4 linked regions of the Struthio camelus genome follow. The protein of the gene in region 1 interacts with the protein of each later gene in a pairwise test. Links are inferred from orthologs where the notes say so. Each region holds a gene or a part of one and is shown in the gene's direction. Other genes may lie near its edges. The genes, in order: MYOG, TXNDC9, CLUAP1 and EIF4E2.

Region 1 (7,641 bases):
GAATAAGCACGTCTTTTAGCCTGGGCAAGCTCAGCCCTCATGGGGCTTGTGCACGGCACTGCACAAACCCTCTCTGATTGCTCTCCCAGCCCAGTGGAGAACCCAAACTGGGAAAACTGGCAGATATGGGTCAGGAAGGGGCTGCTGGCTGCTCCTGCCACCACTGTTCACCTCCAAGCCAGTGATGGAGAGCAGGAGACAGTCCCCCATCACTACCCACAAGCAGACCTAAAAACAGTCCTGAATCCCCGGCAGGTTGGGACCTGGCCACGCGATGCCTGTGGCTCCCAGCTCGCCGCAGGGCAGGCTCTGAGCGCGGGTCGCCGGCTGCTGTGGCCCCATCGCGGCCGAGCAGCTGTCGCCATCCCAAATCTGCGGTGAGCAGGCACGTCGGAAATCCCGGGTGTCCAAGGAGAGGTCTGCTCTGCATTCCTCGCCTGGGCCGCGGGGGAGCGGGGAGAGGGCCAAGCATCCCTGAGCTGCCTGCAGCTGCTCCCAAATATGTTATGACTTGTCACTGCGGCAGGAAGGGATGGCGGCAAGCCTGGAAAGCAAGAAGGGACATAGGGCAGTGGGGTGCGCGGGGCGATGAGTGGTTGGTCCCCGGTTGGTCCCAGCGCTGGGGAAACTTTCCTTGCATGTTGGCCAGAGGAAATGGCTTTTTCAGGAGACTCCTTTCCTGCTCAGAAATCCTCCCTGCTATTCAGCGGGATGGTCTCTTTGCTGGATCATGTCTCCTGCTCAAAACCCATCCCCACTGTCTTTCTTCCTGGGAGCGTTGCCCATGGCCTTCGGGGTATCCAGGCTATCTCCATGACCCGGTTTGCTTCCAATCCCAAAATCTTACTGCTTTTTCTGCCCTTTCCAGTGGAAGGAGCTGACTGGCACTAAACACACCAGCTGCCATTAGCCCTCCCGCACAGCGCCTGCGCATGCAGCACCACGCGCTGGATGGGGATGTGCTTGTGGGCTCTGCTGAAATGCAGAAAAGCAAGCCTCAAGGGGCTGCCCTGCATCCTTGTCCTCAGACCTGTGGAGAGCCATGGCCCCAGCTGTGGCACGAGAGCCAGGACAGGGAGAGCAGACCCCAAGGAGCAAGGACAAACCTTCCTCGTTGGGGTTTTTCTCAATGAACTGGTATTTTTAGCCTGGGGCTCAGCTTTGGCCTCGTGGCTGCTTTTCCCCGCCGGCTCCAAACGTGCGGGACACTGTCACAAGGCCCTTGAGTCCTCCCCCCTTTTACCGGGGGAAGGTCACCCCGTGACAGATCGCAACACGTTCTCACTGGCGCGCTCACAGCGTCTCCTTTGTGTGCGTCCCAGCCGCGACCATCCATCACGGGCTAACCTGACAGCAGACAGCAGAGCCCTAATCCCCTGGCCAGCTCCGAATTACCCAGGGCGCAGCCTGCAGCAAGCGTGGGCAGCAATGAGCCCCGGGAAAAGCCTCCCTGCTCTGGCCATCCTGTGGCCCAGCAGCAGTGATATCCTGGGTGCCCAGGCTGCTGTTGGCTAGCAAGGGAGTGCCCAGAGAGCCTGGACCCTGGGGGTCCCTCGGTGCCTTGGAGAAGGGAAGACACCCACTTGCCCAGTGGTGTGGATGCATGTGCTCACTGGGCTCAGGAACCCCAGACCTGGCTATATCCTTGCACTGCGTCCAGGAATAGGTCTCACCTCAGCAAAGAGGGTCTCAACGGCACCTCAGATGGAGGAGCAGCTGTGTGGTGGGGTGAGCACAGTGTTATCCTGGATCCCTGTATTGCTGGGAACGACCTGCATCAGACACCCGAAAGGAGCTGGGCTGACTCCAGCCCTCTGGGCTCCTCTCCCAGTGCGGGATCCTACTTCCCAGGCCCCCCTGCTGGGACTCACTGGTCTCTTACTGGTGGTCTTTCCACCCCATCTCTGGGGACTGATGCTTGCAGGTTGCCTCCTGGTGCCGCCGCTTGCTCAGCCATGAGGAACCTTCCACCAGGAGCTAAAAGGAGATACGGCTGGTGCATCGGGGCCACACTCAGCCCACTTCTTGCCCCGCTCCCTGCCTTGCTGGGGAAAGCCCACTGCAAGTGCCAGCACCTGCTCAAGTGATGCTGCCCCCATTTTATGAAGTGCTAAATGCTTGACGGGTCTGTTGTATGGGCCTGCCACATGTCCCACAGACCTCTAAGCCTGTTATGTCACTGCTGGTTTCTTTATCCTCCAAACACACCATCTCAATTTAAAAAAAAAATCCATCTATATAGCAAAGCCTGAGTGGTCCTACGGGCTTCCCTTCACCAGGGAGCCAGGGTTGAGCTGGAGGAGCTCAAGATTGCATCCATCAGCAATTCCCAACGATAAAGGTCCACATGAGCAAGGTAAATTTCTTCTCAGCTAGTTATGTAAAGCTCTTGGGTACAGGTTATCCTCTTGTCACAGCTTTGTGCCCGCAGTTGTCCCTGACTATTGTAGTGTAACGTCACTGCAGCCCAGCCAACATCTTCGCAAACTTTCAGGGACATCACTGTTTTACTGCTTTTACCTAATGCATGGGCCAGGCTGGAGCTTTGGTTTCTTTCCTTCTTGTATATTTAAGGGATTTTACTTGATGCCAGCGACTGCAAGGTTTACACTGAGGCCAGGCTGAACTCGATGCTGCAGTTCCTGCAGTTCCAGTAATTTATAGCTGTAAAAGCATAGGCTAAGAAATCCTTGTGGATATGATGTCCCCCAGACCCATGGTGTGCAGAGCTCGGTCCTTCAGTCCAAACCCCGACAGGACCCCAATGCTCTCCATTGGATGGCAAATCCCTGTTGCTGAGACCTCAAGAGAGCTGAAAGTGGGTGTAGGTCACATTTTAAGGTTCTTAGGCCCAAAGAAATCACTGCCATGAGACCAAGCAGGTAGGAGGGTTTGTAGTGGGCATTCCCGTTCACCTGTCCATGCTGGACTAGCCAGACTTGGGGGGCTTTGAGCGGACTGGGCGCGAGGGGAAAGCCCTTGGTGGAGGTAGGAAAGATTGCACTTGGCTTGGGTGGTGGTTGACCCCCAGCACAGGCTCCCTAGGCAACCCATTTTTAGGAGCTGACAAGATGCTGCCTGGCAGTGGTTGGCGCTGGCAAATGGCCAGTCCTTGGTCAGAGCCCTCCCTTTATTGAGAACAGGTTCAAAAGGGCCAGTAATCAACCCAAAGTCACTGAGGGTGCAAGCAGGCGGGCCGGGGGAATGCAATGTGGCATGGCCTCCCCGGGGAAGGGGATTTGGGGAAGGAAAATCTCATCACGTTTTGCCCTTCTCTTTGCTGACATTCTTTCCACTGACCAATCCCTCAGCTGGAATTTGGCCTGGAGCAGGAATAGGAGGAGATAGGAGATGGTTTCTTCTGTTCCCAGTGGAAAAAACTCCTCTGAATTAAAGACAAAGCTGGAGAGACACAGTCCAGAGGAGTCCAGAGGCTGGAGTCAGCAAGGAGGACAGGGAATAGGTTAAAATCCCAACTCTGCTCTTGGTCTTACAGGGCCCGTTGTTGTGCCTTCGTTTTTCCCATTGGCAAGGTGGGAATGATGTGCCTCTGCCAGGAAAGACAGGTATGGCAGGATTGCCTTGGCATCTGGGCAGGGGCTTTTGCTATACACACGTCCAGCACCTAGCACTGGAGGCTAGCTTAGATTAGTGATGGTGGAGGAAGGACAGTGTCAGGATGGGAGGCGACCAGGACCAGGCCTGGTTCATCTTCCAAGCTTGGCCAGATAGAGGGTCCTGGGACAAGCAGGAGATGGTGTTCTTTGGTTTTGGTGCCCTCTAAGAGCCCTGGAAGAAAAGGAATTTCATGCCTAAAACGCTGCTCTATGTCTGGGCTATGACTCAGCCAGGGACCTTTGGGAAGACTATGGCAGAGGAAGGATTTGCCCCAAACTCACCACTGAGCCCTCCCGGCTGCTCTCACCTGCCTGCAGTGCCTCTTCCTCCCAGGGACAGAGGGAAAAGCCCAGCCTTGTCGAAGCCTGGGGCAGGAGGGCGGCACGGAGTGGAGCGACACTTTGGGGTGCAGTGAGGCGGATGGGCACGGGGATGGGTGCTGCCTTGCTCGCAGTGCTCGTGGCTGGGCTGCTCGGGGAAGGGGCTGGGACCCCGGAAGCAGGGATCCAGCAGGATCCCATGAGGCTGAGGCTGATGTGGGGCCATCTGCCCCAGGGTGGACTGGAGCCACCCGGGTGCTGCTCTCCCCTAGCCGAGCTGTGCCAGCCCTGGGTAACTGAAAGGACCAGATGATGCAGGAATGCGGGACGGAGCTGGCAGCCCCACGACCACCCGCCATCCACGGCGGCACCCAAAGGGCTCAAACGAAGCCCTTGTTCACAGGGCGGCCGAGTTGCTTTTCCCGACGTGCCAGCTTCCCCGGGCTCCCCCTCCTCCCCGGCACGGCCGCAGCCTGGCCCGGGCAGCGTAATCCCTGCAGGGAGAGCACATGAAATCAGATGGACAAGTTTTGATGTGAGGCAGCAGCTTAGGGCAGGCTCAGGTTTCCTTTAGGTTTTCTATATTTATCTCCGTGATTTAATGCCAGCGCCGGGGTTTAAATGGCACCAACCAGTTGGTGTGAGGAGACGGAGCAGCCATCCCCAAGCCGTGCACACGTCTCCCCGCTGCCTGCCCGTCCATGGAGCTCTTCGAGACCAACCCCTACTTTTTCCCAGACCAAAGGTTTTACGACGGGGAAAACTTCCTGGGCTCCCGCTTGCAGGGCTATGAGCCAGCGGCTTTCCCGGAGCGGGCCGACGTGGCCCTGTGTGCTGAGGGCAGGGTGGGCATGGAGGAGAAGGACTCAGCCCTGCCTGAGCACTGCCCGGGGCAATGCCTGCCCTGGGCCTGCAAGATCTGCAAGCGGAAGACGGTCTCCATAGATCGGCGCCGGGCGGCCACCCTGCGGGAGAAGCGCAGGTTAAAAAAGGTGAACGAGGCCTTTGAGGCCCTGAAACGGAGCACTTTGCTCAACCCCAACCAGCGGCTGCCCAAGGTGGAGATCCTGCGCAGCGCCATCCAGTACATCGAGCGTCTCCAGACCCTGCTCAGCACCCTCAACCAGCAGGAGCGGGAGCAGAGGGACCTGCGCTTCCGCGGCACGGCCACCCAGCCAGGGGTAAGTACCTCTGCTCACCCTGGGGTGCGTGACCCTGGGGTCCCCAGCCTTGGGCTAAGGCCACCACCGGCCTGGGTAGTGGTCCCAGAAAGAGGCACCGCAGCCGGTGCCAGAGCATGGGGACAGGGACCCAGAGGCAGCAGACCCAGCCCTGCCTCTGGTGGGAGCGGGACCTGGACCCTCCAGCCCTCGGGACAGCAGAGCTGAGGTAGACAATGTGACCACAAGCTGGCAGATATGCCCTGCACGAGGCAGCAATGATCCAGCCCAAGCCATGCTCTTGTATCCCCAGTCAAAGCAGATCTATAGCTCTCTTTCCCTATAAACACACATACATATTTATATATGTATGTAGAGTAGGCTGCGTGTCCAGTGCTGGATACTGTACAGAGCGTGGCACATGTGCCCTCACTCACTAGAGCTAATAAAGGTATAAATAAAATAAAATAAAATAAAATACCCTCAATGGCCATTGTGGCGTGTCCCGAGCAGGGGGCAGGGTGAAAGGGTGGGGGGGCTGGAGCGGAGCCACCTGCCGAACACATTTCTTGGACCGAAAATGCCAGTTTGAGAGCCGGATGGGGATGCTTGCAGAGGCCGTGTCTTGCCCTCGGGGCTGTTGGCCCCAAGCAGACACATACTGTAAGCCAGGGCCCTTAAAATCACGAGATTTTGGTGGTTTAACCAGATTTGGGGGAGGGGGGGCATTTTTAATCTACCCTCTGATTCCTGGGGGGGGGAATATGTGGGCATGCTTTTCCCTAATGCCCTAAGGGTGACAAATGGACTTTATAAGAGGCATGGAAAATTGGGATTCCCAGAGATTCATCTGATCCAGTACCAAGGGATTTAAGGGAAAAATAATCGGATATCAGGGTAGCCCAGTACAGTACATTTAGGGGCTGCGTAAAGGCCTGAAAACAGTCTTAGGCATCACTATAAAAAATTCTTAGGACTTCCCAGTATACACCCAAGCTATATATATTCATGTTGATTTGATTCGCTTGGATTTTTCTGCTGTCCCTGCAAACGTATTGATGCAAAGTGCTTGCCTAAAATACGACCCATGCTGAGCAGTTCCTGCGTAACTGCTCCTCCTTGCGGTCTCCTTCTCCAGCTGTGACCTAGGGAGAAACAGATAATTCACGTAATGAGTGTGAAATCCAATATTTTTGGCCAAAACAAAAAAATCATATCTGCATGAATCTCCTATTTTAGTGAGAAACAAACCGAAGTGAAAATCATTTTCTCATCCTGCTGCAGATGGACTTTATTTCACTTTGTTTCCCTACAAAACGGAAAGCCCAACCAGCCACCTAGCCTAATGTTCACGTGCGGTGTGAAATTTCAATTCAGTGCAAAAGCCTTGCAGAGACAAGCTGCGGTCGTTTTTCTCTCTCCACGTCGGCAGTCAAGATACGCTAGCGACCCAAAATTTGGAGGTTTGCCAGCTAGCTCCCCAGCAGTGGGTTACTGTGGACTAGCTCTATCTAGGTGCGATATCTACCTCCATTTTCCTCCCAGAGTTGATGCGGCAGTGATTTTGTATCCCTGCTACAAATGGCAGTGCTTTGGGGTTGCTGCAATGCAAAATTGCATTTCAGGCTCAACGCAGGCCAATAAACATCCACTCTGAGACTGAGAGATGGAGACAAAAAAAGTTAATCCAGCACTTTACTGAGTAACTGTCTCATTTTTTAGGTTGTCACTTCCCAGTGAAACATCCATTTGACCCAAAACCCACAAATCAAAATACCAAAATCAAAATATCTGCTCCCCAGAAATCCCCCTTGTGATCGTCAGAGGAGTTCCAGCCCGTATGACAGCTCTGTTAACCTGATTAGGTGATTTTTTTCAGTAAAAGGCTGTTTTGCCCAAGGACAGGCGTCCATCTCCATCCCTTTCTCCTGGTCATTGCATGAAAAGACACTTTTTCACCTGTAGTGAGCCAACGGCAGCATTTTTCACTCGTTAACCACAGTTCCCAGAACTCCCCAAAAAGTTTCTCAGCCTTTTTGGTTGTTAACCAAGCAAAAAGATGTCCCTTTTCTCCCTTTCTAAGAGCAAACCGCTGCCAGCAGCCTTGAGCCCAAGGTTAATCCCTGCAGGTTGTGCTGGACCGTGGTGCTGGGGGTGCTCGGAGGAAGCAGGCAGGGGCATGGGCTCACCATGCGGGGACCACGCTCGTGCAGGGACAGCCTGTCCCGGCTCCCCCCAGTGCCAGTGGCAGGCTGCAATCGGTTTCAGGGATCCCGAATGCTTTGTCCACTCCTGCCAGCGGCTTTGCGGGGAGGGTGGTGAGAGATGAGTCCATCTCCTCATGGATCTGTGCCAAGTCTAAGAGCAATGGGTGGGCCCCGGGGTGGGGGTAGAGGCAGCGATGCCCGCAGTGAGTATCTTGGACCCTTGCAGGAGGCTGGTGAGTGCGGGTCTGGCAGCTCCTCCTGCAGCCCCGAGTGGAGCACCCAGCTGGAGTTCGGCAGCAACCCCACAGGTAGGAGCCTCTTCAGGTTGTCCCAGGG
Region 2 (7,682 bases), on another chromosome or scaffold:
TTAAGTACTGGAAACTAAAGAGAGCTAAGAGGAGAAGAGGAAGAAGACTCAAAGCTGGGAGAAGGGAAGAGAACCCATAAAAAGCTAAGAACATCAATCTGAAAGATTCAGATCCTAGGCAGGAAGTAATTTGTAGCATACAGTACATCTACTTGTAAGCATACAGCAACAGTCTGAGGCTTGAATTCAAAGCACAGTCCAGTAGTTTACAATAGTCCTTCTTCCCACACATTTAAAAAACACTGTATCAAACTTCCACAAAAACAGCATGGGAGAACCTTGGCGTACCTTCTGATGTTACAGCTCTCCAAGAACCAAAGCATTAGTGCACCACTCCCAGCAGGAACTAGATTACACATCAGAACACCCACTCTTCCTCTAGGAAAGCCTGGATATTCAGATGTCTTCTATTTTATTGAAAACGTTTGCTATGAAGTTCCATTTGAAAATGAACAATCAACACAACCATAAAAATTCCAAGTTGTCAATTAAGGCAACTTCCATATGGTGTAAGAGCAGCCTCTTACCATCCAGGACACCCTTCACCTTTGAAAGGGCCTCTGTAATGCACCCCACAGTTTTTCCTACTGTGACCGTAATTCTGACATTCTGGATAAATGCGTTCTTTATGAACGCATGCACAACCAAGAAGTGACAGGAGTCAACAATAAAGTCTCATAGGAGCATAACAGCAGGGGCACTGGTATATTAGAAACAGGTTGATAAGTATATTTGTTCATCTAGTAATATATATTGATAACAGGCAACAGTCCTACATTCCCATTCTTTCCCTGATCACTATAGCAGTCATCTCCCTCAGGGTCTTCTCCCTATGTATTTACATTTATCAATATTTAGCATAACGACCCCTACTTCATTCAGCAGAAATAACTAGAAAACAGAAGTCAAAGCAAAGGGGTGGGCCGGGGGAGAAGCAGAGTAAAGATGACTTGTACCTTCTGTGACTTGTCTCTATGCACCAGGAGAAAAGCAGAAAGACCTCCTTCCTTTCACCTCAGTTTTCAAACCCATATTCACAACATGGGCAACATACCACCTGCATCTTCCTACATGCTGCTTCTGTACTGTAAATTATGCCCTTGAGCTTTGCATGTTTTGGGAGAAGCAGCCAAAAGGAATATAAGGGATTGCAGCTAAAACAAAGCTGCTGGGGAAAAGGGAGGAAAGAGGAAATTATTAACTCAGCACAGTAAAAAAAAAAATTGAAATTGTAGGAGACAAAGCATGATTGGAAGCATTTAATTCCACAACGTCATTCCTTTCTCACTCTGCTAGGAACAGAATAGGGACCGATGGGGAATGTGGAAGGCCAACTCAAAGCTACAGGTTCAACTGTGTGATACATCCTCTCCTTAGAGGGAGCCTAACATTCAAAGGCAGGGGGAGCTGGGGGTGGAGGACAGGCAAGAGGCAGACAAAAAATAAAGACAAAAAAAGGTGAACTAGTAGACCAGTCTTGCATCATAAAATGAGGAGGGCACCTTTGCAGATAGCGAGATATTCCAAAATATCACTGGGCTTCTAGGTCCTTCCTCATTCCCAAACTCCTTCTTGTAAAACACGCCAAGTCTAACTTTCCCGTCCTTCTCAAATACACACCTGTGAATTCTTATTCCACATTATCCCTCCCACTACCACATAACCATGTAGCCCTGTAATATGGTATTGCCATTACCAGTAACAGGACATAAGCTTCATACTGAGTTTACAAGGCCTCAATACCTAAGCTTGTCAGGTTTGCTTTATCTGAACTCTCCTTGACCTGCCTGCAACTTTGTTTTGCCTGATTTAGCTGTAACAGCAATTTCTGTAACTGACCAGGTGTATATGCTTCATTTGTTTTATTGTTGTTTATCCTGGTATGGTACAACCTTAGTTTCATATAGAAAGCAGTAACAAGCAATTATTCTATGTAGAATAAGATATTTACAATTCTGATAGAATGATGTAGCGTAAAGAAATACAGGCCTGGTATGATAGCAGAGGCCTTGAGAAGTGGAGACACAGGATGCAGCAGAGGAGTACAGGCATGCCACGATAAGAGCTGGGGCGCAGGCTGGCACTGGTGACCCTACAGCTATAAACAACTCACCAACGGTCAGTTAAAGAAATGCAGACCTGGAGCTGGACAAAACTGCTTTTAGGGGTAACAAACGGAACAAAGAAATAGTATTTAACATGTAAAAGGCACCATGTATAGTAAATATGGATGTAATGCAGAGCTGCAGACCAAAGAACAAAGGTGTAAAAGTACATAAGCAAACATATAAAAGTGATCCTAAGTGGAGCCGAGAGGGAGGAAGAATTCATCAACACAAACAATCATATTCCTCTCAATGAAGGACTCCAGACACTGACAACTTGCCATAACATGCCATCTCCACCAGAACGAAACCATCAACCTTCAAACCCAGAGAGCAGTGGAAGGAGGAGTATAACACCAGGAAAAGGAACAGAACTAAAAAGTGTGTATAATGCAATTTAAATTGCATTGTTACTCTTTCTTGATCTGTATCAACTACATTCGGACTAATAACGATTACATCCTTAAGATTTCAATTATCCTAACAATAAACGTTTGGCTTTACTTATAAGGTGTGCTTCCTCTTTGCCCACAAATAAGAGAGTATAATAGCCAAGAGAGGCTCCTGCCCAGTAATCTACAGATGCACAGAGAAATACAGGATGAAAACAAGAAATCTGGTAGGCACTAACACCCCAGAAGTTTCCAATGATAGCAGTTGGTGTGCAGGGGAAGTGCCCCGAACAGCAGCATTTCTGTGTCTGCACAATAGTGGCATCTTCTCTATCAGATGTGAAGAGCAGCACTAGGCCTCCCTTCCTTTATAGGGCAAAAATCCAAGCTCTTCCTCTTCTTTCTCAAATCACACCTGACTCATCTCCTCACCCAGAGTCATTCCCAAGGTACGCCCGTGCAGTACAGCTAGTGAGACAAGCTGATAACAGTATATACTACAAAGTAACATATGGTACAGCAAAAGCTGGGAGAAGAAGAGTCAGACCAGATAGATCTTCACTAGCAAAACAGTCATTATCCAGAAAGATAGACCAGAAAAAAGTAGAACAGTTTACATTCTAACCTGGAGAAGGATAACCTTAGCTTAAACTAACATTTCTCTTAATGTTTTAATGCAATATACATCTAGACAGTCAAAAATGCTTAGAGAGAAGAAATAAAAAATACAGTTTTTTTTAAAAACACTAACAACAGGCAGCCATACTTCAAATAGAAAAAGGAGAGGGGCAGAAACCACAAAAAACACAAGTTCGTGAAAGAAGCTTCTTTGGGCACTTAAAAAAAAAAAACACACTTATTGAGTTAAGAAGGACACACAGAATGAGCAGCTGGGGTAAGAAGAGAAAAAAACACATACAAACTGTTTCTAATCTATACATATTTTAAGAGTTTCTCATTTAACTCCCTGTCAGTATTCAGAACTAAAAACACTTTGTAAATTGAGTACATATTTGTAGTATTATAATGACAAGTAACAATGTGCACTAACCTACTAATTTGTACATACGCAACATGATTCAGTCAGCAGTGATCCATATGGTAAATATGACTGCCTTTATAAAAATCTTGGGAAAAAAAATAAAAAGTGAACTGACAGGACCATCTCCAAGGCAACATGCTCACAGCTGTAGAGGAGATCCTCTTAAGATATTTCTGTGATTGCGAAATATTACTACCACCTGCACTTATTAAACACACGGAAAGCGCAAAGATACAGTGTAATCTACAGTATTTGGTCCCATTAAAAAAACAAAACAAACAAATAAACAAACAAACAGATCTGGGGGGCTAAAACTGAATCAAGGAGCTGTTTTTAAGCTAGCGTCTGGAACCTGCGCTCGAAAACCGCGTTCGCCACCACATGCTCCCGCATAAAATCCTCGGAAAGCGACTAACACCCAGGGAGGCACCTCTTCAAAGGCAGCGCAGCAGCCGACGAGCCGGCAGTCACCACTACTCAGGGGCCACGCCGGCGTCAGCCACCCTCCTTCCCCTCGGCCGCCCCAGCGACGCCAGCGGCGGCCCCAACGGCCGCCGGTCCCCTCCCCCCCGGCCCCGGCCGCCCGGGCCTACTCTGCCCGGCGAGCCCTCACGCGCGGCTCGGGCCGCTGGCCGGCGCTAGGGCCTGGGCGAGGGGCACCGCCGCGCCCGGCAGCGCCAACGGCCGGCGCGGCGCCGCCTCGAGCGAGGCCGCGAGCCCCGGCGGGGCCTGACTCAGCGCCGCAGCGCCGGCCCCGCGCCGCTGTCACCGGCCCGGGAGGAGGAAAAAAGAAGAAGGGGGAGGGGAGGGGGGAAAGGGCCCCGCCACACCTGTCCTCGCTCTTGTTCTTCTGCTTCTTGCCCATGGCGGCGGCGGCGGCTCCCCACGCTCGTCACCGGCCCCCGCGCGCGCCGGCCGGCCGCCCGCACCCGCGCGCAGCGCCGGGCATATGCCGAGCCGCCTCCCTCAGCCCGCCCCACGCCGCGCGGCGCGCAGGCGCCCTGGCTGCCCCCGCCCCGCGCGCCCTCCCGGCCTGCCGCGCGCCGGCACGCGACGAGCGGCCGCCGGCACCGCGCCGCCCTCCCTCCCTCCCCCTCGCTCCGCGCGCCAGCGCCCCCGCCGGCCGGAGGTGGGAGCCGGCGGCCCCGCGCGGGCCGGCGGGTGCGGGTACCGGTACCGGTACCGGTACCTAACCCGGCCCGGCCCGGGGCGGAGGTGCCGCACTCGGGCCCCGAGAGGCGGCTGCCGGTAAGGAGTCCGGGCCGGGGGGTGCCCCGGAGGCGCCAAGAGGGTGTTGTCAAGGGCCGGTGCCGGCAGGAAGAGAGGCCCGGGCGGTCGCCTCACGCCCTGCGGGCTGCCGGCTGCTTGCGCCTGTTTTGGGGGCTTCGCAGGCACTGGCTTCTCGAAACTGGTTTCGTTTTCAACCATTTTGGTCTTCCGACGGCCCCGGAGAATGACTTGAGTAATGCCCCGGCTTTGCAATTTCCCCGACGCCCTGCTGTCTCCCCAGAGGGCTGCCCTGAGGCCCACAAGGCCTCACAGGACTGTCCTGGCTGGCCGTGAAAACCGACTGAACGGCCCAGATAAAAGGAACATGGTCGGAAAGCTTTTATCTGGGGGTAAACAGGACAGCTAGGTCAGACCGAAAAAGCAGGGAGATTAAGTGGAAAGCTTTTAGGGTGTGCTGGGACAGCATATGGGGGCCACTTACTGGATGATAATTCTAGTGTGAGGCATGTTCATGGACACTGCCTGGTATAATTATTACCCTTTCTCTCTAAACGCAAGCTGTTCTTTCCCAGCCTTCTGCAGAGCTCTGCCCGTCCCTGATCCCTGCCACTTCCCCGCACCAGAGCTGAACTGTAAACAACTAAAGTCCACCATCTGATACTGTGGTGACTGGCCTCCAGCCAAAATGAGGGTCAGAGTAGGCGCAGTTAGGTTTCACAGCTCAGCACAAAGGCAAACTGACTGTCAAGCTCAGCTTCAGAGAAACCAAGTCAACAGCAGTGCCAGGGACAGAGGTTCCAGCCCGGGGAGATATGGCGGCGAGACCACACCAGCAGAACGATGTTTCCTGCCTTCGTTCTCGTTGTACAAAGCTCTTCCTCCTTCCTGCCAAAACACTTGATAGCACTAGAACTAAAATGGTGCTGCACTCTCTTACAAGAGAGTCTGGAGTACCACTTGTGCATTAGAAGATCAGTAAATTCAAACAAATATTAAAACCAATGTGTATATTATGATACAGGGGCTCCCAGTTGCAACCCCCTCTCTTCCTGGCCTAACTCCTCAATAGCAAAGCAAGATGGAGCAGAAAGACCACCAATCTGTTGCAGTAATCACAGACATGGAGCCATCTAATACACTCTGAGAGTGGCACATTTTTGTTATTGTCATTATCCAGTAATGGTAGTAGTTTTTCCTTTTTTGGCCCGAACAAGCCTCACTCTTCATCTTTCAGTCTCAGGACCTTTACCTTGCCTTACTCCCTAAAATCCTTGCTTCCTACTTCCTTCTCCCTTTATACAGCTACAGCTCATCGCCATCTCTCACCCTTAGCCACAGTGGACTACAGATAAGACCAGAAGTTTATCTTTCCGCCTTATCTTTCATCATCAACATGCTCCAGTTCTGACGAATCCAGAGATCCAGGAAACAAGGAAGCAAAACACTTTTTTTTTTTTTACACATTTTAATAGCTCATTATTTAGCTGTGGTAAGTCGTCTGCTGTACTGGCAAGAAGAACAAAGGCATGACATGCCCCGGCTAGTCAAACACAGCCGTCTTCTAACCGAGATCGCCTCAGTGCTCTGGCGGAGCCCTCCCGTCGCCAGCCCGGCCCTTACCGGTAATCACAGCGCCGCTCGAGGGGCCCAGCCCCGCCGCCGCCCTCCGCGGCTCCGCCTTCGCCCCACACGCCCAGCCCTGAGCAAAGTCACCGTCACCCCGAGATGAAACCCCGAAGAAACGCGGCCTCCCGCCTCCCCCTTCAATAGGCCCCGCACACCGCCGCCATTACACCGCCCTCCCCCCCCCGCGGCGCGAGACAACGAACCGCCCCGGCGCGAGGCCGCCCCGCCCCAGGAGACACGCCCCTTCACGGCAAAGCCCTGCCCAGAGCAGCGTGCGGCCTGGAGGCCAGCAGCCTAGAGAATCACTGCTTCCGCCTGCCAAGGGAGCCGCGCTGTACCCCGAGACGCGTCTCCTCTCGGTGGGGAAGGGGAGGGGGAAAGCGGAGAGAGCCGCTGTGCATGCCGGGATGGGCGCTGTTGCCAGGGGGACGAGACACGGGTGGGAAATGCATGCCGGGAGGTGTACTCCGCCGAGGGAGGGCAGTCGCAGTGCGTACCGGGAGAGGTAGCCCCTATGAGGAGGAGCTTCGGTTTGGTGGGGGGGGGGGGAAGCTGCCCCTGGCTAAGTTCTGCCCCAGCGTGTCCCTCCCGAGGGGCGGATACACGACCCCGCTTCTCTGTAGAGAGCGGCGAGAGGCCGCCCCAAGGCGCTGCGCATGCGCACCCGCACGGGGCGCAGGCGGCGGTCGGGGCACGTCGTCGCACAGCCAATGACAGCGTCGGGAAGCTCTGCGTGCGCGTGCACGCCACAGTCCGCCCTCTGTCCTCGCGTCCCCCTTCCTGGCTCTCGCGAGACTCGGGCGGGGCGGAGCCGGTGTGCGAGCCGAGCACGCAGCCGGGCGGCACCAGCGGGCGCGGAGCGGTCGGGGTGAGTGGCGGCGGCGGCGATGGTTGCGTTTGTGGGCATCGACCCTTCGTGCCGGGCTGCGGGAAGGGGGCGGTGGGTCCGGCACGGCGGCCGGAGGAGAGGGGAGGGAAGGCTGCGCTGTGGCCGGCGGGGCGAGCTTGTCAGGAGCTGGGCGGCCGCGCCCCGGGTGGGTGGGCCACCGTTGTTTGTAACGGCCCCATGGAGGCGCAGGGCGCCTGCGCATTCCCCCCTCCGCTCCACACACACACCCCGGCGCGGCCTGCTCTGCTCCCCTCCGCTGGCGCCGGCCGGGCCCCCGGCGTCCTGTCTCGGCCCCGAGGACTGTCCCAGTGCAGCCCGCCCGCAGAGGGCTCCGGGGCGGGCAGGCGAGTGCACCCTTTTCTGGTGGAGCGAGGACTACTACTCGCTGGCAGCCGCGC
Region 3 (7,470 bases), on another chromosome or scaffold:
TTAGTCCTGACTGTCTCAGATAGGAAAAACAGGTCTTGCTTCAAAATGCCAGCGCGTATGCCCAGATATATATTGCTGCAGCCACCCTGGGCTTAGCAATGAACCGTTATCTTTAACCTCTGTCTCTCCTGACCCCGCTCCAGGTGAAACGACAGCTAATCTACCGTTAAGCTCAGGCTGGGTAATGGGCTGGGCTAACACAGGTGTGATCTCTTAAGGGCATCTTCATCAGCTCGTTCCACTGACTTTGCTGGGACTATTTATGCGATCTCTGGAGGGATGGGTGGTAGATTGGGGAAGAGGAACAAGGGGGTAGCTTATTCTCCAGAAAATCCTTTGCAGGAAAGCTGAGTAGCTTGAAAGGTCTCATTCACTGCTGGCTAACATGTATATTTGCTATTGCTCTAGGGAATAAGAGGACCAATCCTGCTCGAAAGGCATGTGGGCTCCTGCAGCCTGTCTCCTCCCTCCCTGTGGTGTGGCCTGGGGCCATTCCTGAAGCCTCGCTGCGGAAGCGGAGGAGCGAGAGGTGGGCAGGCTGCATGGGCTGCTGCGTTAGGGCAAGCCGTGCACGGGATACGTGCTTGTAAAACCGGGAGCGCTTGTCCCTGAAACACGCCTCTCCCTCAGCCTCTCTGTGCGAGCCGGGCTGTGTTTATTTTTATTCTACCGGCACTAATACCCCAAGTGGTTTGTCTGGGCTTTCTTAGCCTGTAGCGGCTGGCAGAAGAAGCTGCGCTGGAGCAGCCGTGCTCAGAGGTAATCGCGTTCCCCAAGGGGAGCTGGCACAGGCTCTTGAAGCCGCGGCAGCGCGGCAAGCCCCGTCCTCGCTTCCCTGCGCTCTCATGGCTCAACCACTTCGGAGGGTGTTGAAGTTTTATATGACTTTGACATCTCTCTTTGCAAAACAGAGACAAATAAATAGTGACTGAAGAGGCTGCCTTGTTTTAGAGTGTATTCTGAGTCCTTCCTAGCCTCTCAGCTGTATCGAGTTGGGTCTCTTGACAATTTGTTGTATAATAAGATGGAAGAAAATGTGTTTTTCCCCAGGATTGTAATCTGCATGACTCACTAATGCTCTAGTGAGACACTGGAGTCCCTCAGACCGGCTGAGTTAGAGGAGCGCTTTACCTCTCCTTAGCACCTCTCACCGGCAGATCCAAAGGGCTTTAAGGAGACGATAACAAGGATGACAACCCTCCTTGTGATAAGCAATATGTTTTAGTTGGAGAAAGGGAGGTGCTGAGCCTGCACGTGCCCTGCGTTGTGTCACGGGGCAGGAGTGACAGTCCCCAAAGCCTAGCTACTGCTCCTGTGCTCTGCGTGTCAAGATGCATCTTCTCCAACATCCCTGTGAGGGAATTGTCCTGAGCCCACAGGTTTGCAAGGGTCCAGTGTGCCCGTTACCATTTTGCAGGACACTGGGCTGTTTAGTTTAATGGTGCTTGCTGTGAAAACGCACCCCTTTTCCTTGCTCTGGGGAAAGCGAAGTCAGACTCGCTGGCTTCTTCCCTTCTTACCAGTTTGTGGCATATATGAACACAGTAGCTCCCAATTAGCTGGTAGGCTGGGAAGGTTTGACGCTGGTCTCTGTTACGATGTTAACGGAGGCTGCTGTTCACCGTGCTTCTCTTTCTCTTGCCGTTTGTGGGGAGATGACTACCCTGCTTAAGCATGGCCTCCTGCACCCCATTGTCCCTTGAGGCTTGAACACAGAGAATCTGGGCAACTTGGCACGTGCTATTGTTCATTGGGCTCTCTTTGGCACTGGATTTTTTGGGGAATGTACAAAATCCTTAAAAATGCTGTTTTGGAGTGTATGTCTCTATAGCTATTAATAGATGCTGTGGGCTGGGCTGCAAATGGCCCCTTTGATTCTGACGTATTAGTCAGAGCTGCTTTTGCACGACTCGGCCTCTGATCATAGAAAGGCCAATTAATTAGTATAAAAAGTTGATGCTCCATAGTTCCCTGGTTTTCTCCTTTTCTGTTCACTCTGATTTCTCCTGTTGTAGGGAAAATCTCCAGGTGCAGCGGTATGGACTCAATGCGCTTTTTTGTCTCAGTATCATGTATCTTCCAGGAGCTTTGCTTCCATGTAGGAGGACACAGAATATCTTTAGCTCTCAGCCTCATAGATGCAGCCTGGGTCCTGTGAGCTGGCCTGGGCTCCTTTCTCCTGGCCCTCACTAGCACCAGACGCTGTGCGTTGACTCAGATTTCCACGCTCCAGCGGAGTGCCAACATGCAGTGATGGGACATTAGCAAACCTCTCTGCTGATGAGGGGTAAGTAGGAATGATCCCAGGCTCCTGCTCTGCAGCTTTTCCACCCAGGAGGCTATCTTCATGTGATTCAATAAGTTTTGGACTAGGTTTTGAGGAGTATTTGCTTCTGTTTTAGCTAATGAAACCTGAGCTGGTTGTGTTGGTGTGTTTCCTGGAGCTTCAGTAGAGAGCGATCTCCGGATGTACGTATTGCCTCCTCTCATAAAGAGGCACAGACATTCTCAGCCCAAATTTTTTGATGTGACCAGAGATCTTCTAACAGCTTAAAAGCCTATGAGGGCTCCCAGCCTGCAGAGGAAGCAATCTATCACTTGCCCAGGGAGCCTTAGATCCTCGTTACCTAGCCAAGGGGCATAATAATTCCCCAAATCCCATAATATCTTCAGTGCAATAGCTTCTGCTTCAACAGCAGGAAGGTTATAAGGTCTCCTTACATCCATCGTACAACTCGGACAGAGGCATATGACACAGCCAGAGCAAAGACAGCTCCTAAAAATGTTGCTGAATTTATCTACGAGGAATAGCTTCCTCTAAGCTCAATTTCACAGTTGAATGTATTTTTGCAATAGAAAAAGGTAGCTACCAGAAAGGATATAGGGGACGGAGCTGGGTTTATTTCCAGATGAGGTCCGGCTATCGTCCGTCTCTTCTCGCAATAGTGTTCCTGTGCTTTGGGCCTAGCTGCGCTCCTCGAGGGGCGAGGGATGCTGGGCACTGTAATCCCACTGGCTTTGCTGTAAGCTGAGAGGCAGGATCCTGCAGGAGGACTCAGCAGTCCAAAGCCTCTCCTCAGCCATGGTTACCTGCCTGTGTGAAGGTGCTGGCATTATTTGGATCACAAAACACTGAAAAGCTAGTTCCCATTTCTGCTTTTTTTCACCTGTTCTGTCTCTCCTGAATTTCTGAGCAGAGAGCTAATCCATGGGGAAGACCCAAAGGGAGCCCCCTACGCCTTGAGCTTTCAGCCTCTGAAGGACAGTATGGGGGCTTGATCCAGCTACGAGATATGGGACTTCAGGGCGCTGCGACCTGCACAAGGAGGAGAGGAGCATCTTCAGGAGCCGGCAAAGGAGAACAGGAAGCTCTTGGGGGAACCTGTCAGCCAGGAGGTGATAACCTCGAGGTGGCTCAGCAGGAGCTGCCTCTGCTTTACCTCTGTGCCCTGGCAATGCAAAGCACCCAACCGGGGTGAGGTGATGGTGCTTCTCGGTGGTCCTGAGCGTGCCAGCATTGTGCGGACCTGAACAAGACGGGTGAACGCGGGTTTCCTTCTGCCAGCCTAAGAGCTGTGCTGGTCTGTCCGGTCTCTCCGCAAGGGTCTGTTAGGGGCCCTTCGCCCCGCTGCGCCCATGCTGCACGCTAATGCTGCCCGTGCCGCACCCCAACGATCCTCCCCAACGCCTCCTTGCAGCTCCTGCCACGTCCTGTCCTCTGCTCCGAGTCTCTCCTCTATTTCATTATTTTTACTTAAAATGTTTTCTTGTCACAAACCTATTTTCAGTTGTATTGAACCTAAACCAGCTGCCCTGACCTCTTGACAGAGCAACACTTAATTCTGCTGCTGAGATCACAGGTTTCTGCTGCTACGGGGACATAAAACTGCCAGACTGGCTCAGAGCTGAGGTCTATTTATCCAAGACCCTGACTTCTCCCATGAGACAAGAGTTGTGGAGGCGCTTTGGTTTAACTGCTTGATGTATAAGCTGTACAATTGCTGATGACTGCTTGATGTATAAGCAGATTGGGGTACAGAAGACAAACCCAGCTTCCTTCCTAAAGAAGTGTCCTCCCCACCAGGCTGAGGGTTTTGGGGCAGTGTCCCAGGGATTGGATCGGCTCGGACCAAGGTGCGAGCAGGGCCTGGAGCTTTCGGCCGCATGGCGACCCGCTTGTGACGCTGGTGCACGCTCAGCACAGCGCTGCCCGTGCGTCCCCTCGGCACTCACCCAGCCCTTCTCCTGCTGCCCATCACCAAGCTCCCTCTGTCTTTTTGGCCTGAAAGCATCTTTTGACGGCGCCCAGAAGGCAGCGACAATCAAAAGCTTGAGGAAAGGGCTCCTGCGCTTGCAGCACGGGTAAGCGATGCCCCGACGACGGGAACTTGCCCTCGCAGGGCTCAGCTGCTCCGCTCGGCTGCGCAGGCAGAGAGGCATTTCAGGACTTTCAATGCAATTTGACAAATCTGAAATGATTTGAAGCAAGCTGTTTCTTCTCCTGACAGTGTAAAAGGCAGTAAGCTGAAGCAGCTGCTCACTGTTTAAATGCTAATATTACTTCTGCTTTTCCCTTTGGGCTCTACTGCGAGAAACCCGGCCCCTGGCAGCAGCGATGGGAGCAGCCCACGAGCGAAGGAGGAGGGAAAGGCATGCTCAGGGTGCCAACAGGGCAAAGACGGCACCTCGGCAGCAAAAGCCTTGCTGCAACTCCACAGGTAATGAATCTATAGGATAATACAGGAAGAGCTCACTTCCAGTTACTTGTGTCCTTAGTTCTGATGGTGATTCCTCAGTTATGATTGCAGTTAGTTTCACTAATGTAGCTGTGCCAGGAAGACCAGAGCTCAGAGAAGAAGGCCTTGCCCAGTAGGGCTTACTTCACCCTTGTTCTTTATGGGGCATGTATTGCTCAGCTGGGAAAGCACTGTGTTTTGCTTGGTGAGCCCCATCTCAAAGGCCAAATCAATAATTGGTGATAGGGTTATTCCAAGCTTACTTTGACTCTCTGTCTGTGACGAGGTTCGATTAAGGCTGTGCTCGTGTTGGCTGGTTGCTCTCCGTACCCTTCCCCCTTGCATGTCGAGAGCCTAAATGCTGACTCTGCAGGAAAACACCCCAAAAGTTTTCAAGAGCAAACAACGCTCCTAGGGAAGGTGATCTGAACTTCCAGCTCCCAGAGACGCGAGGGGTCCCCATACCTCTATAAATCCAGTTGTGCTGTGTCATCTTAAGCTGGACACCCCAGAACCAGGAGGATGGGGGTAGATAAGCACTTCTGGCTGGCTTCAGGCAGGCCAGGTGGTGCTTAGCTTAGAGGAGAGCTAGCAGAGAGGGGAAAAGCAATCTTGCTTTTCACTGCATACAAATGAGTGCTTAGTCTCTTCTCCTGGCCTGTCAGGTGAAGTCTGAGATAGATCTGGAAATCTACTTGCTTGGAGATGCTTTTTCACCCTCAGTAGCTTTGTTTGCTTATCTGCTGAGTGATCAAGCAGTGGCTGTTGATGTATTACCCCTTCCACTTGATACATGGGCTGCTTGTTATCCTGGGCATTGCACTCCGCTCTCAGCGCTCTCTTTAATGCCAGCGCATTAGCAGGCAGGGAGCTGCTGTGCAATGTAATTACAGGAAACGTGACATTCCTGCATGTTTTCCTTCACCGAACACAAAGGCTGCAGATTCCCCTGGGTTCCTCAGCCCACATGGCACTTCAGGCTTCCACCAGGGACCCTAAGCCACTTCCACTTCTCTGGGTCTGCACCGTATTGTTGCAGCTGGAAGTAGCAGTTAATTTCCTCTCTCGCTTCTGCAGTGAGGGTAATGTTAAATAAAGTGGCAAGGAAGGTGGGAAGGAAGAGGGCTGCTCTTGCAACTGCAATGTTAACACCAAGGAGTCTGCAAGCCGGCTGTGTGCCAAGCCAGCCCTCGGGGGCAAACAAACCTCTGACGGTGTGGACGGGGGCAGTGAATGTTGCAGCGAAAGACAGAAAACAGCCTTTAGGTGAAAACTGATCTGTCCCGGCTGGGTAACGAGGGAGGCTCTGAGTTGAGGAGCAGAAGGCTTTTACTTGCAAGTTAGACATTAGGAAGTGGATGCAAAAGACCGAGCGTGAAGCATCTATAGGACTCTTGCATATAGCAACCAAATGGAAACTTTACACTTTCATACCATGCTTTTTCTGGCATCGGCCCCTCTCTGGGGAGTGAATTTTTCTGGCAGACTCTCTTCCGAATCTCTCAAGCTATAAAGGCTCTGTCTGTAAAGCTGATGTTCTCCTACAGCATTTATCTAACGTAGCTTGGGAAATGACCCAGCAGAAGTATTCTCAAGCATCAAGAAGACCCTGTTGTCTAAAAGGTGACTTAGACAAGTAAATTAAAGAGTACAGTGACTTCATGCTAGGGTCTCTTGGGGCATAAATGAAGCTGGAGGCTTTTTTTACCCTATTCTCCCAACAGGGACAGCACAGATGAGTTTGTTCTGTTATTCGGTGCTTGAGAAATCTCAGGAATGCCTAATCATCTCAAGGTTTTTCTCTGCCTGATTTAAAAACATCAGGAAAGTAAGAATAAAAATTACTTGCTCTTACTTGATCAGATTTTCAACAACAGAGTATGTCCTAGCAATGCCAAGACCTACAGTCGCCCCATCCCTAGGATGAAGGACTGAATTTGCAGTGCAAGAATGACCAGGTAAGACGGTACCAGAAACAAGTGGGGAAAGCATGAAACTTTTTTATTCTGCATATTTAGGAGGCAAAATCAAATCTTGCTGGCTTTTCTAATACATGGGAAAGCAGGTGGTGGGACAGCGAAAGACTAACGGTTTAGTACTTTGCACCATGCATATACTGGAGCCATTGCTTTAGGCACATAGCAGAAGCAGGGTTACAGGTGAGTGTCTCAGCATGAGACATAGTTTTTTTCACCCTCCTATGTCTCAGCCTGTCCCCTGGGAAGGTGTCTGTGGCCACTGCAGCACTGTCACTCCGTGCCCTCACGCTCCCTCTCTCCAAACTGTCCTGCAGGCATGGCTCACCTGGCTGCTGAGCACAGTTTCATTCTGGATTTTAAGGCATCAAAATCTCCATTCCAATTATCTTGCAGGGGCACCACTGCTACTCCTTCAGGCTGTGTATAAGCTGGAATGAGTCCTGTCTTCATAACTGGCCAGAGGCCCTCATCTACCTACTGTGTCCATAAGCCCAGATGTGTATCCCAAGCACGGCCAAGGTCAACCTGACTCAAAGTAAAAGTCTGCCCCATGGGAACAGCATGAAATAGCAACTTTCCATTAAACATTATTCTCTGTTACTGGGAGAAAAATCTTGTGAAGAGGGTAATCTGCAAGGTACTATAATGTAGGAAGTAAGAATTTGGCTAGAAAGGTGTAATAGCAAAGCCCTCCCCAAAAAACAGCCTAGGAGAAGAATGGTAGATCTGTTTAAAAATAAATAAAAGGATGGTGA
Region 4 (7,618 bases), on another chromosome or scaffold:
CTTTCCTGTGAGGGTGACTGAGCACTGGAACAGGTTGCCCAGAGAGGTTGTGGAGTCTCCTTCCCTGGAGATATTCAAAACCCACCTGGACGCGATCCTGGGAAATATGCTCTAGGTGACCCTGCTTGAGCAAGGGGGTTGGACTAGATGATCTCCAGAGGTCCCTTCCAACCTCAGCCATTCTGTGATTCTGTGGTTCTGTGAAATACTGAACTCCGCTAAAAACAGCACTCCAGTTCCATTCTTTCTCAGTAATGGTTCCTCCACAAGCATTCATGGCTATCTCTGTCCACAGACCCATTGAATCTCCCACACTAATTCTCTTTCGACAGATTGATCTGACTTTATATTAAGATTATTCAGCATCAAGCCTGCCTTGGGGCCACACTCAGGTTTTTCCTCTTAGCTTTTTCCTCGAAGGGTTCTTTAATAGCCTACTTTTCCTATGTTAGATTGGGATCCTTCCAAACCGTTCAAAAAAATAGAGAAAGTTAACATTGTTGTGGCTTTGAGAACTACAGCAAAGTGCTGACTTAAGGTGTAAGAGGGAACAGGCATTTAGGGAGAGGCTTCACTTAGAAAACATAAGGAAAGCTGTACTGTAGCAGATTTAAATCCATCAACTCTAAAAGGTATTAGTGGAAAGCAGGTAATCTGGAAAGTAACTGTATGCTAATGATCACCCTTTGCACACTTTCTTCCTCCAAAATAGATAATAAATAAAATTAAGTGGTCATTTATTTCCTATAGTTTGACAAATAATATACCTGGATCATAGCCATGGTCAGCCACGGTTCAGCTGTGAACGTTTAGGCTTTAAAGAGTAGCTAAGATGTCACGGTGTTCCCTGTACCTGTATTTTCATGTGCAGCTCTACGATACTTTCCCATCACTGTTGAAGCACTTAAGCCCTGTGTTAATGAGATCACTGGTGGCATTAAAACACCTGCAGGATCTACGTACAGTTATTAAGGATGAGATCAGGAACCACCAGGAGAGCTGGGTGCCTGGAGAGCCACGGGACTTCATTGATGCATACCTAGCTCAGATGTTAAAGGTAACAAATAACTAACTGTCTTTTGTGCAGCTGCAGCATATTTAGAATACTTGTAGCCAAGATACTTCCAGCTGCATGTCTACCTCCTCCTCTTCTTCCTTCTCAGAGTCTATTTGTTGGGATATGTTTCTTTTAACTCACCCTCAAAAGCAAAGTATTTTCGCAAAGTACTAAGGATGTTCCTTGGTAGTCACCACAGAAACAGTAATGTTTCTCTACTCTCGACTGGAAAAAAAGTGTATTGTACACTGCTGTCCTCAGGAAGATTTTTTTTAACAGATCTATATGGCTGCTAGTTTTCCAGCTTCATCAATTCACTGTGGAACCTCTGAGGCAAAAAGCTCTGTTGCTGGAAATGTGCTATGCTATTAAAACTGCTTTACATTGCATTCATTGTCTCACATCTGAAGACAAAGGATGACCCCACATCTACGTTTAAAGAGACCAACATGGTGCAAGTGATCACAGACCTCTTCATAGCGGGTTCAGACACCACCACTATCACGTTATGCTGGGCTCTCCTCTACATGATGATGTACCCAGAAGTACAAGGTGAGAAATGCATGCACCTGCATTTACATCTGTGACTGTCCTTGCGCACTGCAGAGTAATAAGCAAAATTCAGTTGTCTCCCCTGCCCAAATTTTGCAGTTTAAGATGTCTTTGGCTGTTTGAGTCTCAGCATAGAGCCTAAGTATCAACTGCCTTCCTGAATGCTCACTACTAGCCTTTTTCTTCTGCAGAACGAGTCCAAGAAGAATTAGATGCTGTCATTGGTCCATCTCGTGCAATTGAATATAAGGACCGAGTGATCTTGCCGTACACAAATGCAGTTCTGCATGAGATTATGCGTTACAGCAGCATAAGTGCCATAGGGGTAATGCGCAAGTGCACCCAGGATACCATTCTACAAGGCTTCCCTATCACTAAGGTATGTTAAAGCCACAATATTTTTTGGTATGATCCTTAGATAAAGCAAAGAAAGGCAATCGATTCTTTTTACCTTTTTAACACCATATGTTGTGCTTATATTTTGCCCCAGGCAAAGCTGAGTTTGAACAACTTGTGCAAAACTCTTCATTGTGAATAGGAGGCAGGACATTATCTACATCCTACAGTAGAAATAAACTCCTACTCAGCTTCACTATCCTTTTGCAAAGATGCTCCTTATAATGGTTTTTCTATACCAGATTTCAGGAGTTAGATCAGTATAATTATATCAGTATAATGATCTTGTTCTTCTTTAAAACTGATGCAAGTCAAAGCCAAGTAGAAAAAACAAAGAAAATCTTGAATAATAGTGTTCATAGACACAACTTATTGTATAAGCAGAATGCTTTAGATCCATATCCAACCTTATACAGGTGGTCTTCCCAATGGACAAGACCTGTGTGGCTCTCAGGGAAGATGCCTTTGAAAAAGCAAGATGAAAAGTCAGAGGTCTTGGGACTGTGAAGCCTTCAATTCAGCATTTTTTTCCAAAGTTTCTGATTATTGCAAGCACAATTTTCTTGTAAAATACTGTGCTCTGATGCTCTAGAATCAATGTTAGAAAATACCTAATCATTTCTAAATAAGCTATTCTGCAGGAGAGAGCTTAGCATGACCGTGTTTCTCATCCCATAATAATTAGATGGCACATGCATTGGGCAATTTCAAGAGAGCAATTGGCACTTTGGCAATTTATGACATTAGTGCCTAACTTTGTGAAAAAGATCCTTTTATGTTCATTTTCTCTTTCTGTAGGGCACCTTAATTTTCCCCAACATATTTTCTGTCCTGTATGACAAAGAGCAATGGGTGACTCCTCGACAGTTTAACCCTGGTCATTTCCTGGACAAGGATGGAAACTTTGTGAGCAGAGAAGCCTTCATGCTCTTTTCTGCAGGTGAGAGCAATCCTCAGTATTGCTCACAGCTTTCCTATAGTGATTGTTTCACAGGCCAAAACCTTCCTAACATTCGATCTGCCACGAGTATTTTTGTTCATTCCCATAATAAGGTCTATGCAGCAAAAGACAGAGGTGCTGATTTCAGAGACCGGTAGCAGCTTCACCTTCTTGAGGAAAAAAAACTAAGACTACCTAGTGTCTGAAATTCTCAACAAAATGAACTGCGATTGTGGAAATGAGGTAGATTGTCCCGTGGGAAAAAAATGACAAATTAAAGATCCCTCAGAGAGCAGGGGATAGAAGTCTGTTTACTAATTAAGAACTGGCTCCTGGAAGATACTGGAAATCTCTACCAATATTGATATCAGTGGACACCAAGAGGCCAGCAGATGAAGCTGCTGCATATCAGGTTTATTTATGAACAGCATCTACATATGAACAATTTTTAGAACGCACATTCCTGATCTACAGGTTAAGGATTTTCTCTGACTCTATCCATGTCGTAAGTTGGTGGAGAAACAGAAAGTACTTTGGTCAGAAATCTGATCATTAATTCTGCTGGATAGCAGAAATTATTGGGCAGAGGTTTGTAAAAAGCTATGAGAAGATTCTCTTCTCATGGGGCAATGTCTTCTCTTCTCATGTAGTGTGAGGGGAAGCTGAAGGAGGGATTATCTCCCTGCCCTCTATGAACTGTCCATTAACCTCTCCTAACACATCAGGCATTGCAGGGTTTTACTGGTATATTTTTTCTCTCCTCTTCCCATCTCGGACGCTATCCATGTCTCAGGTGAGAGACACTAGAGAAATACAGCGACCGTAGACGTTGGAAGGGGCTGTAGATCTCAGCAGCTCTGTTCACAGGGTGCCCCAAGATGAGTGTTAACAGATCTAGAGCACTTCTCTGCTTTCATACCGCAGTAAGTGGCTACACGTAGGGACTGCAAATCTCTCCTGTTCTTCTGGGCTTCACAGCAGAGATGTGCTCTTGCCTACGCGGGGGTGAAGCCCACGCATGACACATTCTCCTCGCTCCGCAGGCCACCGCGTGTGTTTGGGGGAAGGGCTGGCCAGGATGAACCTCTTCATCAGCTTCAGCAGCCTGCTGCGGGCCTTCACCTTCCGGCTGCCGGAGGGAGTGAAGGAAGCCGATGACCGGCCCATCGTGGGGTTCATCCTCCAGCCGCACCCGTACAAGACCTGCGCCATCCCTCGCTAGACGCTGAGGGGAAGAAGAAGGGATGGGCGCAGGCTGTCTGGCTGAGGGCCGCCCTGTCACCACAGGAGCTAGCCGGGAGTTTTAGGTGACATATGGTCACCCTTTATCCACCAGAGACAACTGAACAGTATGAATAAAACGGGGAAGCTACCTGAACCCCTCGGCCTGTGTCTCTCCGCACTGGGCGGCCTCGCCGAGGGCAGGGCGCCACCCGCCTTTGGCGGCACGCCCGACTCGTGCCACTCCCAGCATGGCGGCTCTGCCCGCGCTCGCCGCGCTCAAGATGGCGGCGGTTCTGCACGCATTCAAGATGGCGCCCCTCCCGAGTCGCGAGAGAGTCAGCACTCAAGATGGTGGAAGGGGGGGGGGGGGAAGCCCCTTCCTTTTGCCCCTCCCTTAGTTCCTTCCGTTGTGCTCTGCGCTTATGTCGCCGGGGGAAAGCGCGACTCTGTGTCGGAGCCGCCCTGCCGTCGGAAGTGGAGGAAGGTTTTGGAGGGAGGACTCGGCAGAGCGGAAGTCGCTGAGGTGGACGGAGGTGGCGGCAGCGAGCGACGATGAACAACAAATTCGACGCGTGAGTCGGCGGCGGGGCCGTCCCCGACCGCCGCTACCGCCGGCCCGGGGGGCTGTGCGGTCTCCCCTGCCCCCCAGCCCGCCCCGGGGCTTCCCCCCCCCCCCAGCGGCGGCGCTGCCCCGGCGCCGTTGGGGCGGGACGCGATGAGTCACCGGGCTTCGCACAGCCCCGTTCTGCCCCCTCAGGACGGCCCGGCCCGGCCCCGGGGCTCCCGCCCGGTCCTGAGGAGAGCGGGCTCGGGGGGGGTGGGTGGGTCTGGCGGCATAGGGCCTTGCTCGCGACGAGGGGGTCCGCCTTCTGGCCCCACTTCTCTCTCCTCTTTTCCGGCCCTTCGCAGGGAAGGGGGCGGGCGGCGAGACCTGTGGGGCGCAGGGTGCCGGCGTGGTGTCTGCCCGCCCGGGGGACAGTCTCCGCTAGGCTTAGGGGCGGGGAGAGCTGGGTGGCTGAGAGTCAGCAAAACTGCGGTGGGTGGTCGCCTTGTTTGCCTCCCAAGCAGTCAGGTTTTTGTGCAGCAGATCTCTGTCCGTTATGAAGTGCTTGACTTTGTCCTAAAAAGGCATTTTGTTGCAGGCTTCTGCTTAAAAGTGTGTACCTAAGGTGCTTGTGATGGGCTCTGGGCATGACAAATCCCATCCGTAGTTTTCACTGTGTAGGTTGTCAAGTGTAGCTTTCCAAGCGCGGGTGGCTCTTGTGTGACATAGGAGCTTAGAAGCAGGGGCTGATGAGGCTTCTCGATTGTGACGTACAGGACTGTCATTCATTCTTTATTTCATTAACCAGTTTGAAGGATGATGATAGTGGAGATCATGACCAGAACGAGGAGAACAACACACAGAAAGACAGTGAGAAGGAAAAGAATGATCGAGAGAAACCACAGAGTAGTACCAAGAGGAAGGTAAGGGGCTGGCACCTGTGTTCTGTCACTAGGGCGTGATGGTGGAACGCTAGAGTGTTCTCAGTGCGGGGATAAGAAGAACACGTCTTAGTGTGCTATGGTCACTTTGTATACTGTTACTGCTGTAATGAAGATGGGGGGCTGTGTTAGCATTTGTTTAACTTGACATAGCATTCGGGGTATATGATCTGAGGGGTGAATGCTCCTTTCACAAACGCAGCTAATGCTCTGGCCGGCTTTTGAATGGGGAAGTGGGGAGAGGAAGGGGGAATGACTGACTGACTGACTGACTGAGTAGTGACTTGCAGTTGGCTTTCCAAGCTATGCTTTTTTGCCATTGTTGAAATAATCCTTAAGACGGGATCTGTATGAGGGTAAAGTAGCCTAGTTAGGAAGGCAAATACCCATCCTGTTTTTTATCTTGTGCTTAGGAAGACTGTACTCTCTGAAGTAATACAATCCTTATAAACTTGCTGTAGGCTAGTGGAGAGTAGGGATTTAAACCCTACTTGCTCTTGTAACAATATCAAGTGATGCAAGGTGATGGGTTTTTGGTGTTTTGGGTTTTTTTTTTTTTTTTTCTCCTGGCACTTGCGACTCTAGGGTAAGGACTTCTCATCTACCCATTTTATGCTCTTTAGAAACCTTTTTATTGCAAGTGGATGGAGACTGGAAAGTGATCGCTACCTACTGTTAGCAGTGGGTTCTGCCAAAGCTGACATAACAAGTTTTGAGACAGACTAATCCTTCCAGAGTCTTAGGGTGTTGGTTGCTTGGGGGAGCTGCTGTCACCAGGGAGTTATAATTGCTTTTGGATCATGATTCAGTGTAAATGGGCTTTGCTCTTCTCAGGGAATGAGAATGGCTTTTTCTTTTTCCTTAATTAAAAAAATTAAGCTCTTCTACTGCCCCTTTAGTTGGTCTATCTGTTTCCTTTGAGAAACTCACAGTCAAGGACTAAAACAAAAACTTAGTAATACTGTCTTTAATTATGATGAGGGTTACTTTGCGTGACACTCCCTCAAGCATAAGTTTTGTTACTTCCTTAGCCATCCCTGTACTGCAAATTTCTATTATTCTTTTGAAATAGAGTCAGCTGCTGTTAACCTAATGGTCCATGCCAGATAGTTAACAGAGATGGTATTTTTCTATGAAAATGAGGATGAGTTGTTTGTTTTACACTCGGTAGGGGCGGGAATATGTAGACCACTGATGCCCTGGATGTTACTTTTCCCATTCCCCTTCTAGAGGAGTGAATAAGGAATAAGCAAGCTTTTCTGTTCTGCAGGCTGTTGTCCCAGGGCCAGCTGAGCACCCCCTGCAGTATAATTACACTTTTTGGTACTCCAGACGAACACCTGGGAGGCCTACAAGCTCGCAGAGTTATGAACAGAACATCAAACAGATTGGCACCTTTGCCTCAGTGAGTATGTTCCTGTTGTTCTTGTCACCTGGGCATGGTGTGGTTGTCTTGGCTGGCTTAACTCCTCTTTGTTAGGGATATGCACGTGCATGCTCTGCTCTTCGTGTTGGGCAGAGGAGAGAAAGTGATGTGCCACGATTTTACAGGTGAGATTTTGAATTGCCTGCAGCAGGTGACATGTCTAAAGCAGTTCTCCTTTGCCCTGTGCTAGATAGACATCAGTGCCTGCAGTAATGGTGGAAGCTGGAATAATAATAGCAAGTGAAAAGAACTCCTGTTTAGCTTAAATTGGATAGCTGGAGCGGAACTTGGCGGGTAAGCAAAGAGAAGAAGGGAACAGCTTTTTCTGTGTGTGGAATTTGAATGCTGTGTAGTTGTACAGCCTGTTTTTTGTCTGTATCTCCACCACAAACGGTATATTTGGAACAGGCGTCTGGTCTGCTATACGTAAAAGTGGCTGATGGTCTTGTGTCCTTTAGCTGTCTGAAAGTGATTGAGGTGTGGTTTGGTGTTGCAGTGAAGTTTATTTGAAGGCAAACAGCTGTCCCTTCCCCTCCCA

Evidence for each region.
Region 2: the proteins of MYOG (region 1) and TXNDC9 interact in binary tests that used the Homo sapiens proteins (3 or more experiments, as listed by UniProt). The two-hybrid records come from large-scale screens. The link is inferred for Struthio camelus from reciprocal best matches to the Homo sapiens genes MYOG and TXNDC9.
Region 3: the proteins of MYOG (region 1) and CLUAP1 interact in binary tests that used the Homo sapiens proteins (3 or more experiments, as listed by UniProt). The two-hybrid records come from large-scale screens. The link is inferred for Struthio camelus from reciprocal best matches to the Homo sapiens genes MYOG and CLUAP1.
Region 4: the proteins of MYOG (region 1) and EIF4E2 interact in binary tests that used the Homo sapiens proteins (3 or more experiments, as listed by UniProt). The two-hybrid records come from large-scale screens. The link is inferred for Struthio camelus from reciprocal best matches to the Homo sapiens genes MYOG and EIF4E2.

The regions. Positions count from the first base shown.
Region 1 is NC_090965.1:3,753,763-3,761,403, reverse strand, and holds the start of MYOG (myogenin), read left to right. Parts: upstream 1-4,588; 5' UTR 4,589-4,639; coding exon 4,640-5,119; intron 5,120-7,531; coding exon 7,532-7,613; intron 7,614-7,641. UniProt on the Homo sapiens protein: Acts as a transcriptional activator that promotes transcription of muscle-specific target genes and plays a role in muscle differentiation, cell cycle exit and muscle atrophy.
Region 2 is NC_090942.1:151,319,100-151,326,781, reverse strand, and holds the start of TXNDC9 (thioredoxin domain-containing protein 9), read left to right. Parts: upstream 1-4,577; 5' UTR 4,578-4,787; intron 4,788-6,071; 5' UTR 6,072-6,391; intron 6,392-6,620; exon of another isoform or gene 6,621-6,754; intron 6,755-6,777; exon of another isoform or gene 6,778-7,263; intron 7,264-7,443; exon of another isoform or gene 7,444-7,628; intron 7,629-7,682. Other genes in the region: EIF5B (eukaryotic translation initiation factor 5B), read right to left, coding at 4,370-4,404. UniProt on the Homo sapiens protein: Significantly diminishes the chaperonin TCP1 complex ATPase activity, thus negatively impacts protein folding, including that of actin or tubulin.
Region 3 is NC_090956.1:18,074,490-18,081,959, forward strand, and holds the start of CLUAP1 (clusterin-associated protein 1), read left to right. Parts: upstream 1-4,460; 5' UTR 4,461-4,615; coding exon 4,616-4,718; intron 4,719-7,470. UniProt on the Homo sapiens protein: Required for cilia biogenesis. Appears to function within the multiple intraflagellar transport complex B (IFT-B). Key regulator of hedgehog signaling.
Region 4 is NC_090950.1:22,233,932-22,241,549, reverse strand, and holds the start of EIF4E2 (eukaryotic translation initiation factor 4E type 2), read left to right. Parts: upstream 1-4,580; 5' UTR 4,581-4,721; coding exon 4,722-4,741; intron 4,742-5,521; coding exon 5,522-5,636; intron 5,637-6,924; coding exon 6,925-7,059; intron 7,060-7,618. Other genes in the region: cytochrome P450 2J5, read left to right, coding at 872-1,057, 1,468-1,609, 1,801-1,988, 2,804-2,945, 3,989-4,167. UniProt on the Homo sapiens protein: Recognizes and binds the 7-methylguanosine-containing mRNA cap during an early step in the initiation. Acts as a repressor of translation initiation.